Drosophila melanogaster: one gene and its partners. The protein of the gene in region 2 interacts with the protein of the main gene of each other region in a pairwise test. Each region holds a gene or a part of one and is shown on either strand. Other genes may lie near its edges.

The links.
Region 1: the proteins of ND-MNLL (region 2) and Cpr92F interact in a two-hybrid assay, tested with the Drosophila melanogaster proteins (one large-scale study listed by BioGRID).
Region 3: the proteins of ND-MNLL (region 2) and CG5114 interact in a two-hybrid assay, tested with the Drosophila melanogaster proteins (one large-scale study listed by BioGRID).
Region 4: the proteins of ND-MNLL (region 2) and CG10559 interact in a two-hybrid assay, tested with the Drosophila melanogaster proteins (one large-scale study listed by BioGRID).

What each region holds. Positions count from the first base shown.
Region 1 is NT_033777.3:20,667,748-20,673,350, forward strand, and holds Cpr92F (cuticular protein 92F), read left to right. Parts: upstream 1-1,823; 5' UTR 1,824-1,983; coding exon 1,984-1,995; intron 1,996-3,388; coding exon 3,389-4,522; 3' UTR 4,523-5,074; downstream 5,075-5,603.
Region 2 is NC_004354.4:7,892,508-7,895,614, reverse strand, and holds ND-MNLL (NADH dehydrogenase (ubiquinone) MNLL subunit), read left to right. Parts: upstream 1-1,816; 5' UTR 1,817-1,865; exon of another isoform or gene 1,866-2,027; intron 2,028-2,053; exon of another isoform or gene 2,054-2,124; 5' UTR 2,125-2,128; coding exon of another isoform or gene 2,129-2,293; 5' UTR 2,294-2,314; coding exon 2,315-2,485; 3' UTR 2,486-2,562; downstream 2,563-3,107. Other genes in the region: p115, read right to left, coding at 1-1,488; CG45089 (uncharacterized protein), read left to right, coding at 2,129-2,293.
Region 3 is NT_037436.4:14,981,052-14,985,035, forward strand, and holds CG5114 (uncharacterized protein), read left to right. Parts: upstream 1-1,783; 5' UTR 1,784-1,883; coding exon 1,884-2,799; intron 2,800-2,861; coding exon 2,862-3,069; intron 3,070-3,159; coding exon 3,160-3,373; 3' UTR 3,374-3,435; downstream 3,436-3,984. Other genes in the region: CG3349 (uncharacterized protein), read left to right, coding at 1-1,292.
Region 4 is NT_033777.3:25,313,932-25,318,073, reverse strand, and holds CG10559 (uncharacterized protein), read left to right. Parts: upstream 1-1,957; 5' UTR 1,958-1,969; coding exon 1,970-2,159; intron 2,160-2,215; coding exon 2,216-2,706; intron 2,707-2,773; coding exon 2,774-3,146; intron 3,147-3,211; coding exon 3,212-3,405; 3' UTR 3,406-3,580; downstream 3,581-4,142. Other genes in the region: CG10553 (uncharacterized protein), read left to right, coding at 1-207, 297-781, 843-1,209, 1,269-1,453.

The DNA of each region.
Region 1 (5,603 bases), on a different chromosome or scaffold from region 2:
GGTCGGGTTGGAGCTGAAGCTGAAGGTGGCTGAAGGTGGGCACCTCGACAAATCCACAAATGTGTGGATTGCACTTGAGCCAGTCGAGGCATTCATTCAGGCAGTCGGCCCACAGCTGTCGACAGTGGGCCGAGCTAATAAAATGAAAACAAAAGTGGCACCGGCAAAAAATATAATTTATAATGTTGCGCATACCGCAAAAATGTCAAACACGCCCCAAACCGATCGCCCGCCCGCGCATAAAAACAACAACAACAGCACATGCGGGTTCAAAAGAGCAGTTTGAAGTTGGTTTGGTTTATTCAAATTAAATTGGTGGCAGGCAAAGGCAAACAAATTAAGTTGCCGATACGAACTCAAGAATATGGAGTGTGCCATATAGACTATAAACGAGTATATAGGCGCATATAGCCAACCGCCCTCCCGATTTCGCTTATCGAATGCAAATAATCAAAGTTAGCCAGGGTGCAAGCACTCATTATATTGCAACGGACAAGAGAGGCTCACTGCTGCACTTGCAGAAAAAATGCAATCGGATTTCGGATACGGAATCGAAATTCATTACATTAAATTATATTTATTTCTTTATGTATATATATATATTTATATGTTTAACTGAGCTATAAAAAAATAATAACATTTTGGGGAAAAAAAATCATCTCTTCTCTTTAATAACTAAGATACTCAATAATTGTTAAGAAGTTGGGATATTCAACTAAGATACATACAAAAATTAGTTACAACAGCATTTCTTTCGAAATCGTTCACTCACCTAGCATTCGACGAATATCATTTTCTCTTCTTAGGGATTATTCTTAGTTAAGGATAGCTCATTCTAAGTTAAATAATTTTGATTTTCCGAGTGCATGAGTGCATTTGGGAGTGCAACATCTAGATTAGCGGACAGCAAAGAAATGCTGCAACATGTGGCAACAGCGGTGGCCAAAAGTGAATAGAAAATCCATTTTGCTGTCTTTTGTTTTCCGCTTGCTTCTTTGGGCAGTGCTCTTGTTTCTCCTTTTTTTTTAATTTGCAAAGTTTTCGTTTCGTTTTCCGATGCAGTTCAATGATTAAAGAGGCAAACGCCCAGAAATTGGCCAGCTCACATTTCGTTATGGCCACCATTGGGGCATGTTGCAAGCGGTGGGTAAGAATTTTTTAATTTGATCGAGCGTTGCGCTTGGGGCGGGGCTCTTGGGCGTTTTTTGGAAAGGCACTGATCGATAAGATCGGCCTAATCCCGTGGCCAAATAATGAGTGCTAATTGTCCGCACCGCGGAAGTCAAAGAACTAGCACCCGAAACAACACCAAATAAAATACATTAATCGCCTAATGTTGAAGCCAGGTTGAAACCAATACCGGCAATTAAATCGCGTTGAAAGCAAGGTCATGGCAGCTGTGATTTTTTCCACAGTGACAAACGCAGCGCGGAAACGCACGAGCAACATGTTGCCAGTGCAACTGCAGGCCAGCAACATGCTGCAGCGGCACTCCACTGCAAGCGATTGATACACATTCTTCGGCTGCGATATCCACTTCGGCTCTGGCCAAACCCCGCTTCGAGCCCCGATTAAAGTGGTAATTCGATTACTCTGGAACTGGTACCACACATTGTTCTGCTCTTGCTCTCGTTGGCTTTTGTTGGCTTTTGTTGAACGCCCGATATTGCTGGTGTTGCGGTGTTTTCGCTGCTGTTACCAATGTTGCGCATGCGCCGGCGTCTCAGCCGGAGTCTCGGCTGCAGTGTCTCTGCTCCCCAATCCCCAGTCTCCGGGCTCGCTGGTCTCGGGCGGTATATATTAGGGCCGCCAGCCAGCAGTCAGCACAGTTCGTTAACAGTCCTAGTCGTGGTTCTAGGAGGTTCAACCAGCGTCCAGCGACCAGTGCCTGTGCCCGTGTGTCGTGTGTAGTTAGTTTTCCGTTCATCCGCAGTGTGTCCCCGAAACTCCTTTTCGAAGCTCAATCGTGTGATCATAGCTAAAATGAAGCCATTCGTAAGTATGCGCCATGGGATCGAAAGGATAACGCCGAGCAAGAGGATTAAAGTTATAAATAATATGAGTTGGAGTGTGTAGATTACCGTGAGGAGAAAAGGATATTTGGATTCCGTGCTTGAATTACTGAGATACATTTCTAACTTTTTCTGTTCTACAAATTAGTGATTAACGTCTCTGCATGTAATTTATTTTTCTTAAAGTTACAAAATTTTACCATAAAAGTGGGCAAAAGTTCATTTAATTGATTGATTCTATCATGAAATGCTTAAGTTCATTAAAATCGTAGTTTAATGGAACTATGTAAGTCCACAGCCAGGTTTCGCTAGTTAGAACTGCTTTTTCATTTTCGATCTTTGGGATATGTTAATCGGTATCAAGAGAGAAGTGTGGCATACCAAATCTTTAAATTGGATTTTGTCAGCCGTTCGAAAAGTAAACACTAGTTTGACAGTGACTTGCCATTAAGTTTGAATGAATTCCTGGCATTCTTTTAATCTGTCATAGCGCAATTAATTTAAAATTCAACTGACATTGCTTTTGTAAACTCAATTTATTTCGCTTAAATTCCGCTCCGAACGAAATGGCACCTGTGCATCGTTCAGTTCCATCCGAGAGTCAATTACCATGGCACGTCATGCTAAACGTACCACCCAGCAAACCATCAGCTGCCATGGAACTCCGTGCGAAATCCCGTTGATAAGCCGCTGACATGTTGCATGTCGGACAGTTTATTCAACCGTTTTTCCACCACTTTCTGCCCCACTCACCTGCTGACACATAATATCGTACATAATCGCGCCGCATGCGGTAATATCTTCGAACGAATATTGGCCGACCGACCGACTACTGACTACATATCTCGGAATCAAATCTAACGGTTGCGCTTCGCGGCTCTGAAAAGCGAAACCATTGGAAAAGCGAATCCAGAGGAGAAGCGAGTCCAGGAGAAAAGCGAAAAGATGGGCGTGTGGGGCAAGAAAAGCGAGAGGAAAACGCTGGCGCAAGAGCAAGAAAAGCGAAAAGCCTGTAATTAGGTTAGCAGAGGCGGCTTATAAGCTTCCACTGAGTGACACCTGCGATTAACGATTTTGGGCGGTGGCTACCGCACGAGTAATTATTGAGCAGTCACATAATCCCACGCCTAACACCTTCTGCACTGTGAGAAACATGTAGAAGCTATATGTTAAATAATTTGAAATATTCAAAGAGATGAAGGTACAAAAGTTCTCTAATCGGAATTCAACATAGGCAAAATCAAAAAGATTTTTAATTATTATTATATATATATTTAATATATAAAAATCAGTTCTGTAAAGCTATATTGAAATTTGTTAGTTTTTTTTATCAGCTACATCAAAATTACAAAAAATAATTTCCCATTTTTATTTAGTTTATTGCCGCAGCGTTGCTGATCTCGACGGTGTCCGCCTCTTGGCACGGAGCCGTCTCCACACAGTACCAGCACCTGGACCCGCACAGCCACACCTACTCCTACGGATACGCCGATCCCAACTCACAGAAGCACGAGACGCGAAGCCATGACGGCACCACGCACGGCTCCTACTCCTACGTGGATGGTCACGGTCATGTGCAGTCGGTGTCCTACACCGCTGATCCGCACCATGGCTTCAACGCCGTGGGCACCAACCTGCCTCAGGCTCCTCAAGTTCATGCCGCTCCCGTTTACGCTGCCGCCCACGCCCATGGCGCCTATGCTCCTTACGCCCACGGACCCATCCACATCCCGGTGCTGACCCACGGAGGCGTCCCCGTCGATACTCCCGAAGTGCAGCACGCCAAGGCCGCCCATGCCGCTGCCCACGCTGCTGCCGCCCACAATGCCGGAGGACACCACCTGTACAAGCGGTCTATTTACGGCGGAGGATGGGCCTACGGACAAGCCGCCCATGTGCCGCTGACTCATGGAGGTGTGCCCGTTGATACTCCCGATGTGCAGGCCGCCAAGGCCGAGCACTATGCCGCCCACGCCAAAGCCCTTGGCCATGTAGCTCATGCCCACGGTGCTCCCGTTGAGACACCCGAGGTGCAGCACGCCAAGGCTGCGCACTTTGCCGCCCATGCTGCCGCCCGTTCTGGACATGCCGTTTCCCCCATTAACCACGGTGGCTATCACGTGCCGGTAATCCACAATGGAGTACCCGTCGATACGCCCGAGGTGCAGCATGCCAAGGCCGCCCACTACGCCGCCCTGTCCCAGGCCTCCGCCCACGGAGGAGCCTCGCATGGATCCTGGGATGATGGCAGCTACGACGGACGCTGGGAACAGAGCCACAGCAGCCACAACAGTTACGCCTCCGGCTATGCGCACAAGGGACCCATCCACATCCCGGTCATCCACAACGGAGTGCCCGTGGAGCCTGCCGAGGTGCAGCACGCCCGTGCCGCGCATCTGAATGCGTTGGCCGCCGCCGGACATGGAGCTCCCGCCAGCCATGGTAGCTACTACGGTGGCAATGGACACGAGGATGATGGCCAGTACCACGCGCACTATGACCACTATTAAGTGACGAGTGGTCGGCACTTGAGAGAAGTTTAACTTCCGATCGACGACGAGCATCTCTATACACTCTGACTAACCGACTACCGAAGCCAGCGTGGCGTATGCGTAACGTTGCATTGCGTATTCGCTCGCCAGTGCCACTTTTATACAGCATTCGCAACTCTCTGTCTTTCTATACATTTATCTGTTCTATTACTGCTTCTATTTCTTAACCTCTGTCACAAAAACACACGGAAAACTGAAAGCTACTACACACGGGAGATTGAAGTGCTTCGTTAGAAGCCTTCCTTGCCCGCTGGGTTTTGACCGATTTGGATTTTCGATCCAGTCACAGCACACACATCTCTACCTACCTACCTACATACTTCTCTCTGTACTAGGATTTTCCCTCATTTTTTATCTATATCTTTATCCTCCTGTTACTTCGATTGAGAAACGCTGTATGAGTATGTTGTAAATAACAGTTGTAATCTTTATGTATCTGACCAGATATAGATCTATATTTTATATGAACATGCAAACAGACAAATAAACTGCAAAAATGTATTTGATCACAATTTGAAGTGTTTGGAACTGGTGGTGGGATTGTGGTATTAAGAATTTAAAATCAAAGCCCCAGGATGCAATGTTAACTTACTTCTTGAGATAAGCTTTTAAATTTTGTTGGTAAAAAGCGCAGCCCTAAATAATTAGATAAATATTTCGCTTTACATTTTTCAACATATATATATAAATTAGTTACTTTTTTAATTTAATCAATGATTTCTGTTAAAATATTTCAAAATTTGCTAAGGCTCCTAGACAAAAATTAAAACACTTTTTAGGCTTATTAGATTTAAATTCAATCGAACTTATTGTATTTAAAGTTGGAATTGAAAATTCATCTTCATCCTGAAGATAAAATTCCACATTTAATGATTTTTCTGATGTTTTGTCATGTTAATTAAAAGGCCATCCAGTTTTGGGGCTTCGCATCCATTTACTTTAAACTCTGTTGCATATTTCCCAGTCTCAGGTCAAATGCCGCACCACCCAGAACAACCATCTAAACCACCACTGATACCGCACAACTAGCACCACCCAG
Region 2 (3,107 bases):
CTTGCTTTGCAAACGGTAGCGTTCCTGCTGCATGAGATTAGTGCACTGCTCGAGTAGCGTGATAGGCTTTTGGCCACCAGGAGTGGCCAGCAGTACGCGCAGTAGTTCCTCCTTTAGGGCGACATTCTCTACGAGTGAGTGCATTAGGGCCACAGCGGAGAACCAGTTGGCAAGCGCATCTGTGGAGAAGAGTCCGGTGCAAAGGAGTTGTCCCGTCGAAAGGGCACTCACATCGGACGCACTGGAGGGCAGCAGGGTCTGTACAACCGCCCGCTGGCCATCGGCATTGCGATAAAGAAAGCACTCGAAACAGTAGAGTACGGCGCAACGCAGTGCCAGCAGTTGTTTCTCATTGATCATGGACATAAGAAGGACCACGATGGCAGGTCTGGGTGGACTGCTCGGAGCCATAACTCTTCCCAATTCATCCTGGTTGTCCCGATCGCCGCGCACCACTTCGGCCACTGCATTGATGGTTTCCGTGAGTATATCCGCAGGGACACCACTGCTCATCAGAATCTCGCAAAGAGCATGGAGCAGTCGAGACTTTTGCATGACCCGCTGGCAGGCGGCCACCACCTGCTGTTGATTACTGGGCGTGACCAGTGCCCGCACCACCTGCAGCAGACAATGGAAGTTTGAGACCTTCTGTGGCGACCAGCCAACCTCTTCCGCATCCTGTGAGAGCTCAAACATTGGCGACAATCGCTGGATATAGCTGCCCTCCTTAAAGAACTGCTGATTACTGGAGTTGTTCTTGAGAAGATTCAATAGCAGAATTAGGCAATCCTCCACAACAATTCCGCCATCCGAACAGCCCTCCTCACGGACAATTTCAAAAAGGCGGTCAAAGGCATTCTCAAAGGCCACAATCTTTTGGATGTTTGAGTTGCCCTTGGTCAGTTCGATAAGCAGCAGAAGGACATCGTTGCGAATCACTTCGCGGCTGTCCGTCAGCAGATCCATCAGCTTGGAAACGCCCATCGGACTGACCAGAATCAAATCCTGCAGCTCCCGCGTCTTGTTCGAAATGAGGGACGTAATCAGTTGGATGGCAGCGCGACGCACTCGAAAATCGTATTCGTCCAGATAGCCCATTACCAGGGTTACATGCTCCGGTGTCTTGATGAACATCTCCGTGAACTGCTCGCCCACATTCACCGAAACGGTGGGATTATCAGCCTCCTCGTCGAACTCCTCGCTAGTAACCACGTTGCACAGTGTGTCCAGCGCATAGCTGATGATCTCTGCATCCTGTCCGTCGTTCTGGAGCACCTGGACCAGCGGAGGCATGCCCTGTGCGCCCACCTCGATGCGGTACTTGCGGGACAGGGCTTTTAGCGCTCGGCAGGCATCCCGTCGATCCTCCAGGAGCGTTGAGGAGTAGACACGGTCCACCAGCTTCTCCACCGTCTCGGCGGCACTCGGCTGCTGACCCGGCTCCGTGCTGCCCAGCACCGTTTTGATGCCACTCTTCAGGAACTCCATGCGAGTGTGTGTTTACGGTCTATTCTGGGTTTTTTCGCATTCAACAAGACACGTCAATTCATGAAAACAATTGACGGGCGGCTTAGCGATGGCTAAAGTCCGATAGACGCCCACTTATCGATAAGCGGCTTGTCTTTAAATATATTAAATATATTTTTAGAATTACAATTTACCATATTTGACCATGTTTGTGTAATTACCTATATTTACACTTTTTTGATAATCTAAAACTTTTTTTTGAATTACATAAAATATTGCTACTTTCTAGCTGACGTCGGGACTTAAGCTGAGTGGCATCCCTGTCGGCGATAGTCTTACTGCCAAAATTTTATTAAACTAAAAACGACTCGACAGCCCTGGTGCTATCGATGCTATAAGTAAGTTGAAAACAAAACTAATTTAGCAAATTTGTGTTTAAAACTAAACGAGAGAATCCCAAAAAATACAATATAAAGCGTTCCACACACGCGGCGTAAGAAGTTCTCAAAAATATCAACACAGTTATCACGACGCTGGGAGAAATCACTCGTTTTTATTACGTAATGCGGCAAAATGTCAACCCATAACATAACAATCCCCACATCAATTTGTGTAAATCATATGTAAATCTCGCCATCTCCTGTGCTTGTCTTGCAGACCTATGGGCAGTGGGATTGTGGTTCAATTGGCTCGAAAGTACGGCGCAGTGATATTCTTTCCCACTGTTGCAGTCGGATCGATTTACGCAGATTGGTCGCACACCCGCCAGTGGAAACGCCAGCAGCTCCAGTTGGCACACCGAGCCCAGCTGAAGGATCAGCGCTAAGAGGATACACAAATATACACCATGGTCTTGGGACTGGATAAGCGAGCACTGTGGGGCGCGTTGCCCCTGCTGGGATTTGCCATTGGCCACTTCCTGGACAAGAAGGAAACGGAACGTATGACCATGTTCCGGGACAAGAGTGCCCTATACGGCCGTCCCGCCGGCAGCGAGGGTAAGGCGCCATCCTGGTAGGCCTGCCCAACATCGCCATCCCAAAATATTATTTTTTTTCCCCCAATTCACTGTTATTCAATAAACCGGAGAAATGTGAAATACGCCTGTCGTCTAGTTTACCTGCATGGCCAGCGGACGAGATTTGCGGTCGGGAACGTGATTTATTTGTGAAGGATTGCGTACCATTGTTTGTTTTACTCAGGAAAAACATAAAAACCTCAACACACGTCTAACGATAAGCCGAAAACCAATGAAAAATCCAAGGAGATAACTCGTTTTTCGAAGGATTTTACCTGGGCATCGCTGCACGATATGCGAGTTCTGCTTAGTTCGGATCAGGGGCGTAGGCTGGATATTTTAGAAGAGCATTGGTGTATTCTACCAAAACTCTTATTATTTATTGTAGAACTTCTTGAGCATGTCACATAAATCACTTGAAATGTGGTAACCGAGAGTAGTCTTTTTAAATGAGTTTCGTTAAATGGCATTGAATTATCTAATACATGTGAATCGAGATTTTTAAGAATTAATAGAAAAAAAAAACTTTTATAAGCATGAGCCCCCTAAAAACTTTCATTTGCACGACCATGCCTATATGTACTATGTAACTGCTTCCAGTAAAAACCGTTAGACAGAATGG
Region 3 (3,984 bases), on a different chromosome or scaffold from region 2:
ACCACCAGCCATATATTCAAAAAGAAAAGAGCTTGCGAGAAATGATTTTGAGTTATGTTGGGGATATTGATCTACTAGAAACATCTCTCATGAACCAAACTAAAAAAAGTACTTATTGTGAAGGCGAACAAACACAAATTAAGAATTTAGAACAAATAATAAATGACATAAGACCCGAAAAGTTCCTAGGCGAATTATTAAAACAAATAGAGCCATTAAATGAAAATCTAGCTGAAGCCAATAAAACTATTTCAGATGCAGAAAAGCTGCTCAATTTGGAAAAGGAAAATCTGCAGAAATTAAATTCCTTGTACGGAGAAGAATGGCATCAAAAAAACATATTAAAGGATCTCGAATCGAAAGTAAGCCAATTGGAATATAAAATCAATAACTTGAGCTTGTTGGAAGACGTAAATTGGCCAAAGCTTAGAAAATCCGTGGACGATGTTAATAAAATGTTCGAAAACAGTCCATCATTCTTCGCTAATATAACTGTTATTTCCATGAAAAATGGCATGAAGTTCAAAGGTCAATCAACCTCAGATTTCGCTATCAACCTAAAGAAAAAAAGTGAAGTAAGATTTTGTACAAATGAGTCTATTAAACTAAATGACTACTTGGAAAAAATTGAAAAGGATAAAAATAAAATTGTCGCTTATTATAATCAGCAAGAAAATGTTGTCAGAGCGCATTTTAACGAACTTTTAGACAAGGAAAAAGAACTGAAATATCATAGCCCGAAAAGCTTAACCTTGAAAAAAAGTGACATGACTTATAAAGTTGATCCATCTGTTTCAAGCACGAGCTCATTACAACTAGATATTAATCAATTGGAAAAAGATATAGACAACTTAACAGAGAATGGGATCGAAAAATTTGAGAGGCAACTGCAATATACCCGATTAAAATTCGAAATGGACAAGCAACAAATTGATCGCAAACTCGAAGAACAGCTAAGAAATATTAATCTTTTCAGAGAGGAGATGAAAAGGGAAGAAAATCTAATCGCAGAACGTTTAGCTAAATTAGACACGCCGAAGGAATATGACGAAAAACTAAGTAAGCTTGAGGCTGAAGCCATGGATTTTCCAAAACAAATAGCGAATTCCGAAAAAACACTTTTGGACCAAATCGCTTCGCTACAACAGCAAATAAAAACCCTGGAAAAGGAGGCGGAGAATACTGAACATAGAGCCGATCTATGCGATGCTGAATGTGATTTTGGTGATCTAGATTCTATTGATGAATTGATGAATAGAGTTCAGGCTGTCAAAAATAAATTAAATAATTGAAATTCAAAGATAGTCATGATGCTTTAAAGCCAATATAGTAATAATACCATATAATATTAATATATACTAAGCATTAATTTAAGTACTTGCTTAATGACATTTTTAACATCGTTAAATATAATTAAGCTTTAAGAACATCTTTTGTTCATTTGTGCATAAGGATCAAACAAACGCAAAGTAAAAACAAATTTCAATACATCTTAGGTCAAACCTATAAACCTTTACTTTAGAGTTCCTAATCGGCTTCCTCGTTATTGCAATTTGTTGTTGCATTAAATGAATTAAAAATAACACCCCCAAAATATAGTTTGATTTTATCATGAAACCTGCTTACGTTTTACTACCAAGATGAACGTGTCAGCATAGCCCGCTTCAATTTGAAAATTCCGCTCAATTTTTGACATTTGGCAACACTGTATTTTGGCTAAAAAAATAATCGACGAAGTCGATAGTCCCAACAAGCAATCGATGTTTAAAAAACATTGGCGAACGAGTTGCCAGACCATTGATTTTCTAGCACGTGTGATACATTCATTTAATTGTTATTTTTATGCAGCTTAACTTGCTATTTGGACCATTAAGAGAATAGGAATGCGTGACAACACACCGCCACACCGGCCAGATTTCGATGACGGCGACGACGAACTCCAGGAGATAATTGAGCTGGAGGAGCAGCCGCTGGACGAAGATGACGACGATTTGGAGGAGGTGACGCTGGAGCAACTGGAGGCCCGGCTTGCAATGGCCGGTGGCGATGATGATGAAGAGGAGGACGAGGAGGAGCTACGTGACCGTGAGAGAATAGCAGCCATCACGGACGAAGCTACGGTCACTTTCAAGAAGCACACCGCTCCTGTTTTCGCCTGCAGTCTGCATCCCAACTACAATTGGGCGGTGACGGGCAGCGAGGACGATCGAGCTTTCGTTTGGGAAACCTCCACCGGCGATGTCCTCTACGAGATCACGGAGCACAAGGACACCGTCACGGAAACGCATTTCAGTCACGACGGCGTCTATTTGGCCACCGGTGATCTAGCCGGCGATCTGTTTGTCTTCAAGGTCAGTGAAAAGCACGACGAACGTCCGATCCTGACTAAAATCTGGGAGTACTCCATGAGCGACATGTCCTGGCTCTTCTGGCATCGAGCTGCCCACATCCTGCTGGCGGGTAGTGACAGCGGAGAGGTCTTCGTTTTCCGCATACCCAGCGGTGAATGCAAAATCCTGCCGGGACAATCTTCGCGTTGCGAGTCCGGAGAGCTCAGTGGGGATGGCAAAAAGCTGTTCACGGCCTACGTGAACGGATCCGTAAAGCTGTGGGATCTCAAGAGCTGTCAGGTGCTCATTGACGTAAACGAATCGCATCCAATGGGTTTCGGCGAGATCACGCACGCGGTGGTGGCCTGCGAAAGGGAATCGCCCTTCTACGTCTGCGCTGAGGCGTCCGGTGAGTGCTCCAGTGGTAAAGGAATTCGGTATAATACCAGTTTCCATAACAAAACTATTAGTAAAAGCAATCATGTTCTCCATTGCATATAAACGGCAACTAATAGATTTATTTTCGTTCAGGAAAAATGCTGTTCTGCACTAACAACGGTCCGGTTAGCACAATCCAGTCGGAACACGGAATTGAGTGTCTGGCCTTTGCTCCCTCCTCGGCGGATCTAAAGCTCTTTGCCTGTGGCTCGCTGGACGGCAGGATATCCATCTGGGACTATGCCAAATCAGCGTTGCGTACCATATGCGAAAATCCAGTTCCCAATGATGCTGTCATAAGGTGAGCACCGCATAAAACTGTAAAAAATATTATAACTTTGATTTAACTTTTAATTTGGTTGTTGCTTACTAATTGCATTAATTATTCCAGGATCAAATGGTTGAACGACCACACGATACTTGCGGCCACCTCGCAGGGAAATCTGAACGCATTCGACGCACGCACAGGAATTCTGAAATTCACGCTGACGGGACACTACTATCACATCTACGAGTTTGTCTACAAGCCTCAGGAAAATCTATTGCTAACGGTATCCGAGGACAACACGGCCAAGATATTCAAGGTGCCGGCGCTGGGCGATTAGTTAGGTTTTAAAGTTTTGTACTGTGCTATATATATGTAAATAGTAAATACATATTAAAATTTATCTCAGTAGCCTGGTGCAATGAACCCATGTGGCGGTCCTGATACACTTGCCCCATATATGTACAAGAAAAAGGGGGGAGGCACAGGGCTGACTAAAGATAGAACACACAAAGAAGGTTACAGTTTGGGGTAACAAAATAGAACTGAAAAGGATTCCGGTTTTTTTGCATTGTGTCAAGAATATTATACTATTTGAAGTTTTTGTAAATTGGTAAGGAAATTTAATTTCATGCTGTCAATTTGGGTTAGGAAAAGAATTATTGTTTTTTAACTTTTTAATGGGTCAGAACTATGGTTTTAATCGGAAGCGTATATGAGAAGTAAGTGCATTCTAAATGCAACTGCAACGAATTCTCTTCAATATCTGGTTCTCTTAGGGAGAATGTGACATGCGTATTGCATTGGGAGCACATCCAAAGAGACAAACACTTGTTTATGTTTTTGTTTGTCGGTTGTCGTTCACCTCCGACATCCACACACATACACGCACACAAAGGCGAACAATTGTCTAAAAAATGAAAACGAATTTTCAGATTTACATATTTATTT
Region 4 (4,142 bases), on a different chromosome or scaffold from region 2:
TGCATCCCCAGACAAAGGATGAGGATGTTAGCCAAAAACAGGTCACCATTCCGGATTGGGTTAAGCCAACAGTCTTTGAGGAGCTGCTTAAAAGGATTGTCAAGGATTACAAAGCAACGAAATCCATGAGGGCAAATGCAGGAGTCGCTGCTGGCGAAAACTATGCCACCGTAATGCTTAGAATTGAACTGGATGTTGAGAAAGAAGGTTCGTTAAATTCATTCTATAGGACTAATGAATTAGGGTATCAGCGTATTTGAACTGAAATTATCTTTCAATTATTGTAAACCTTGCAGATAACACTCAAACAACCAAGGCATTTATGCTTAAAACTCCCCATCAGTCAGAGCAGTATCGTAAAGTAATCGAGAAGACAGATATCTTCGATGTGGAGCGAGGAATGTATGTGGAAGTAGTGCCCGAGCTGGAGCAACTGTATCGCGATGTGGGATTGGAGGTCAAATTTGGAGCTGAACTCTACGACATAGAGGCCAGCGACTACTACGTCCTGCTGGAGGATCTTCGGCCACGTGGATTCGGGAACATAGATCGCCTCGAAGGCATGGACCAGGCTCACACCGAATGTGTTCTCAAGAAATTTGCCCAATGGCATGCGGCCTCTGCCGTTCGCGTAGAAACAAAGGGTCCTTATCAGGAGAAGTACACAAAGGGTTTTTTAAGGAACGAGGAAATCGTAGATGCCTTTATTAATCGGAGCATAAAAGTTTTTCTGGATAACGTCCATCTGTGCAAGGGTTACGAAACTTATCTAAATGATCTGGTGGGTAATTTATCTTTTGATATTCGTATCTTCAAGTCTTCTATCTTATCATTAATTACAGCGCATTGTCTCCGGCAAGACATTCGAAATTGTGGAGAGCCTCAACAATCCGAGTCCTGATGAATTTATTGCGTTAAACCATGGCGATGGTTGGGCCAACAACATTATGTCCCAGTACAATACGAAAGGCGAGATACAGGATACCTACTTTGTCGATCTGCAAGTCCCTAAGTGGGGATCAGTGACCCAGGATCTATACTACTTTCTTTTGTCCTCTACAAGCTTGGACATAAAAACATCAAAGTTTGATTACTTCATATGGTTTTACCACTCCGAATTGGTAAAGCATCTGAAATTGCTTGGATATTCGAAAACTCTTCCCACTTTAAGAAGAATTAACGACGCTCTCAACAAATACAGTGGATGGTGTAAGTTTTCAATCGTTACTTAATCATTAGTTCAGATCTTATAAAAAAAAACATTTCAGCGTTCATCTGCACCGCAACTATATTGGCATATGTCCTCCTGGATCCCGTGGACGGAGCCGATTTTGATAAGGTTCTTGGTGATGACGACTGTAGCTTTAAGAACTCGCTATACATTAATCCCAGATTTCGCAAACATATGGAGGTTCTATTGCCATGGCTTCAGCATCGCGGAGCTATGGAATAGATACTTAGAATGCACAATATTAAATCGTATGGCGTATAACGAAAAAATTACACTCAAGGTTTATATATACAGTATAGTAGAAGTAGCATATTGTGTAATATCTAATAAAGACCTAACTAGTGTTTAACAAACATTGTGGTTAATAAAAAACTTGTTCCGGAGTTTACATATAGGTAAATATAACTATAAGTATAGTTATAAGCATTTTTTTTTATGGTCATACAATTATTTTTATTGTCTTTAAATACTTACACTTATATGACAGACAAGCTTCTATATGGGTATAAATGCATCCCCCCACGTTTGTTTTGGTCTATATGTATGTATCACTCGAGACTTTGAAAACAAGTTGTTTTGAGAACTCTCCATATCCAGCACTCTCTTTGTTTTCCGACAAGCTTTTGGAGCTTTCGTATTGGCATTTGTTTTGGTAGCAAACAAAGATACAGAGAAAAAAAGTTTTGCTCACATGTTTGTACGGGACCAGCCGGCAAATAAACTCTTAGTTTGCTTAGAATGACGGCTGAGACAGGAACAGCGCCTATGCCCACCTGGCTGAGAGCAAATCTATTCGAAGAATTGCTAAGTAAACGTTACGGCGGCAATTATGCCGGAATCAAAAGTTTCAAGCCGGAAGCCGGGCTCAAGCCGGGAGAAAACTACTCCACAATTATGCTGCGCCTCAAGCTTGAAGTCGAACTGCAGGGTGAGTGTGAGTCACAGGTGAACAATGGAAAGTCAAGCAGAAATTTCCATCATCAGATCACACAATCGAAAATGTGAGCTATATGCTGAAGACTCCCTATGATTTCGAGATGTATCGCGAGATTCTGAGGAAGAACAACATGTTTGCTGTGGAGAGGGATGTGTTCATTCAGGTGATTCCCGAGCTGGAACAGATGTACAAGGATGTGGGCGTGGAGGTCAAGTTTGGGGCCAAGGCTTATGAAATCGACGCGCCCGATGATTACGTACTTCTGCAGGATCTGGGTCCTTTGGGTTTCAGGAACGTCGATCGCCTGGAGGGCCTAGACATGGTTCACACCAAGTGTGTTCTAAAGAAGATGGCCCAGTGGCATGCGGTATCGGCCACCAGGATCCATCTCAAGGGTCCGTACCCCCAGAACTACTTGCAACCCACGTACGCCGATACCATGAAGGAGAGCATCGAACAGGTGGCTGAAACCTTGGGCAAGTATTTCCTCAAGTGCCTGCCACTCTACGAGGGTTACGAGGAGTACAGTGCGGCGGTTGTATGTTTCTTTAGCTATATGCACCAATTGGTTGCACGGTTCATCACAAAATAATCTATTTGTACAGCACAAGATGCAACCTAAAATCGTCGACCTTATGTATGCTATGAACACGCCCGATCCGCAGGACTTCAATGCTCTGAATCATGGAGATTGCTGGACCAGCAACATCATGTTTAAGTACGAGGACGAGTCGCCCGAACCGATCGAGACATATTTCGTGGATCTCCAACTGCCCAAGGTCACGAGCGTGGCATATGATCTGATCTATTTCCTCCTGGGCTCGACGAAATTCGAAATCCAATTGAGTCAGTTCGATTACTTCATCAAGTACTACCACGATCACCTGGTCGAGCACTTGAGAATGCTGAACTACCCCGAAGCAAAAACCCCCACGTTGGGGTTCCTCCATACTCAGCTATTGAAATATGGACGAGTTGGTAAGTGGAAACCTCGCTCTGCAAAGCTGTAGATAACCAAGTTCTGATTTCTTTTCCAATCGTAGGGTATCACATTGCTTTTATTCTCTGCCCACCAGTGCTGCTCGATCGGACTGAAGATGCAAATCTGACCGATTTCGTCACCGAGACGGATAATGGCGATGGTCTAAAGTTGGCTATGTACTCCAATGCCCGATATAAGAAGCACGTTAGCGCCATTCTCAAATGGTTGAACAATCGAGGGGCCTTCCAGTGCTAGTTCGCTATACATTATATATATATAAAGAATACTATTGCTAAAGTGATTCCTAACGTTCTCTGGGAAAGAAAATTTGTAATACCATGACATATAAAATGTACTGCTTTCAATAAAATACTAATGCACGAATTTTAAGAATAAAATATGCTTGTAACTGAGCAATGATTATTCAGTGAAGTATAGAAGTTTCTCATTAGACGGATGGTAAACATAATCTCATAAGCACACTTTTGTTTTTAAATGATGAGTATGTGAAAATATATTTAACTTCTAGCCGCTTTGTACTAGCCAGGCCTAATAATAAAACAAAACATAACTGCCCCATTAAAGCACAATCAAAGATAATCAAAATGCCGTTTGGTACCCATATAGACCAGCATTTTGTAGGATTAATAATATTCAAATAATTGTTTATTGAGTGCGTGGTGCTCGTGCGGAAACCGATGGTGAACTGTCTATCTACCCATCACATGTCACGCCCAAAAACACCAATTAATGAGGAATCACGAAATAATTAGAGCGAATGGCGAGCGCAAAGAGGAACTCGGGTGCCCGATCCCGATATGGAAGTCGAATCAGGAGCGGGAACAAGAAACTGTTTTCGTTATCAATCAAACAATTGACGGTGTTTGCGTCTCTATATCATATATCACACACCTCTCGCTCGGGCACGCTATCGCGCACCCACTCTCGCCAACGCCAATTGCCACTCTTTTGCCGGTTTTGGCGAACTGAAT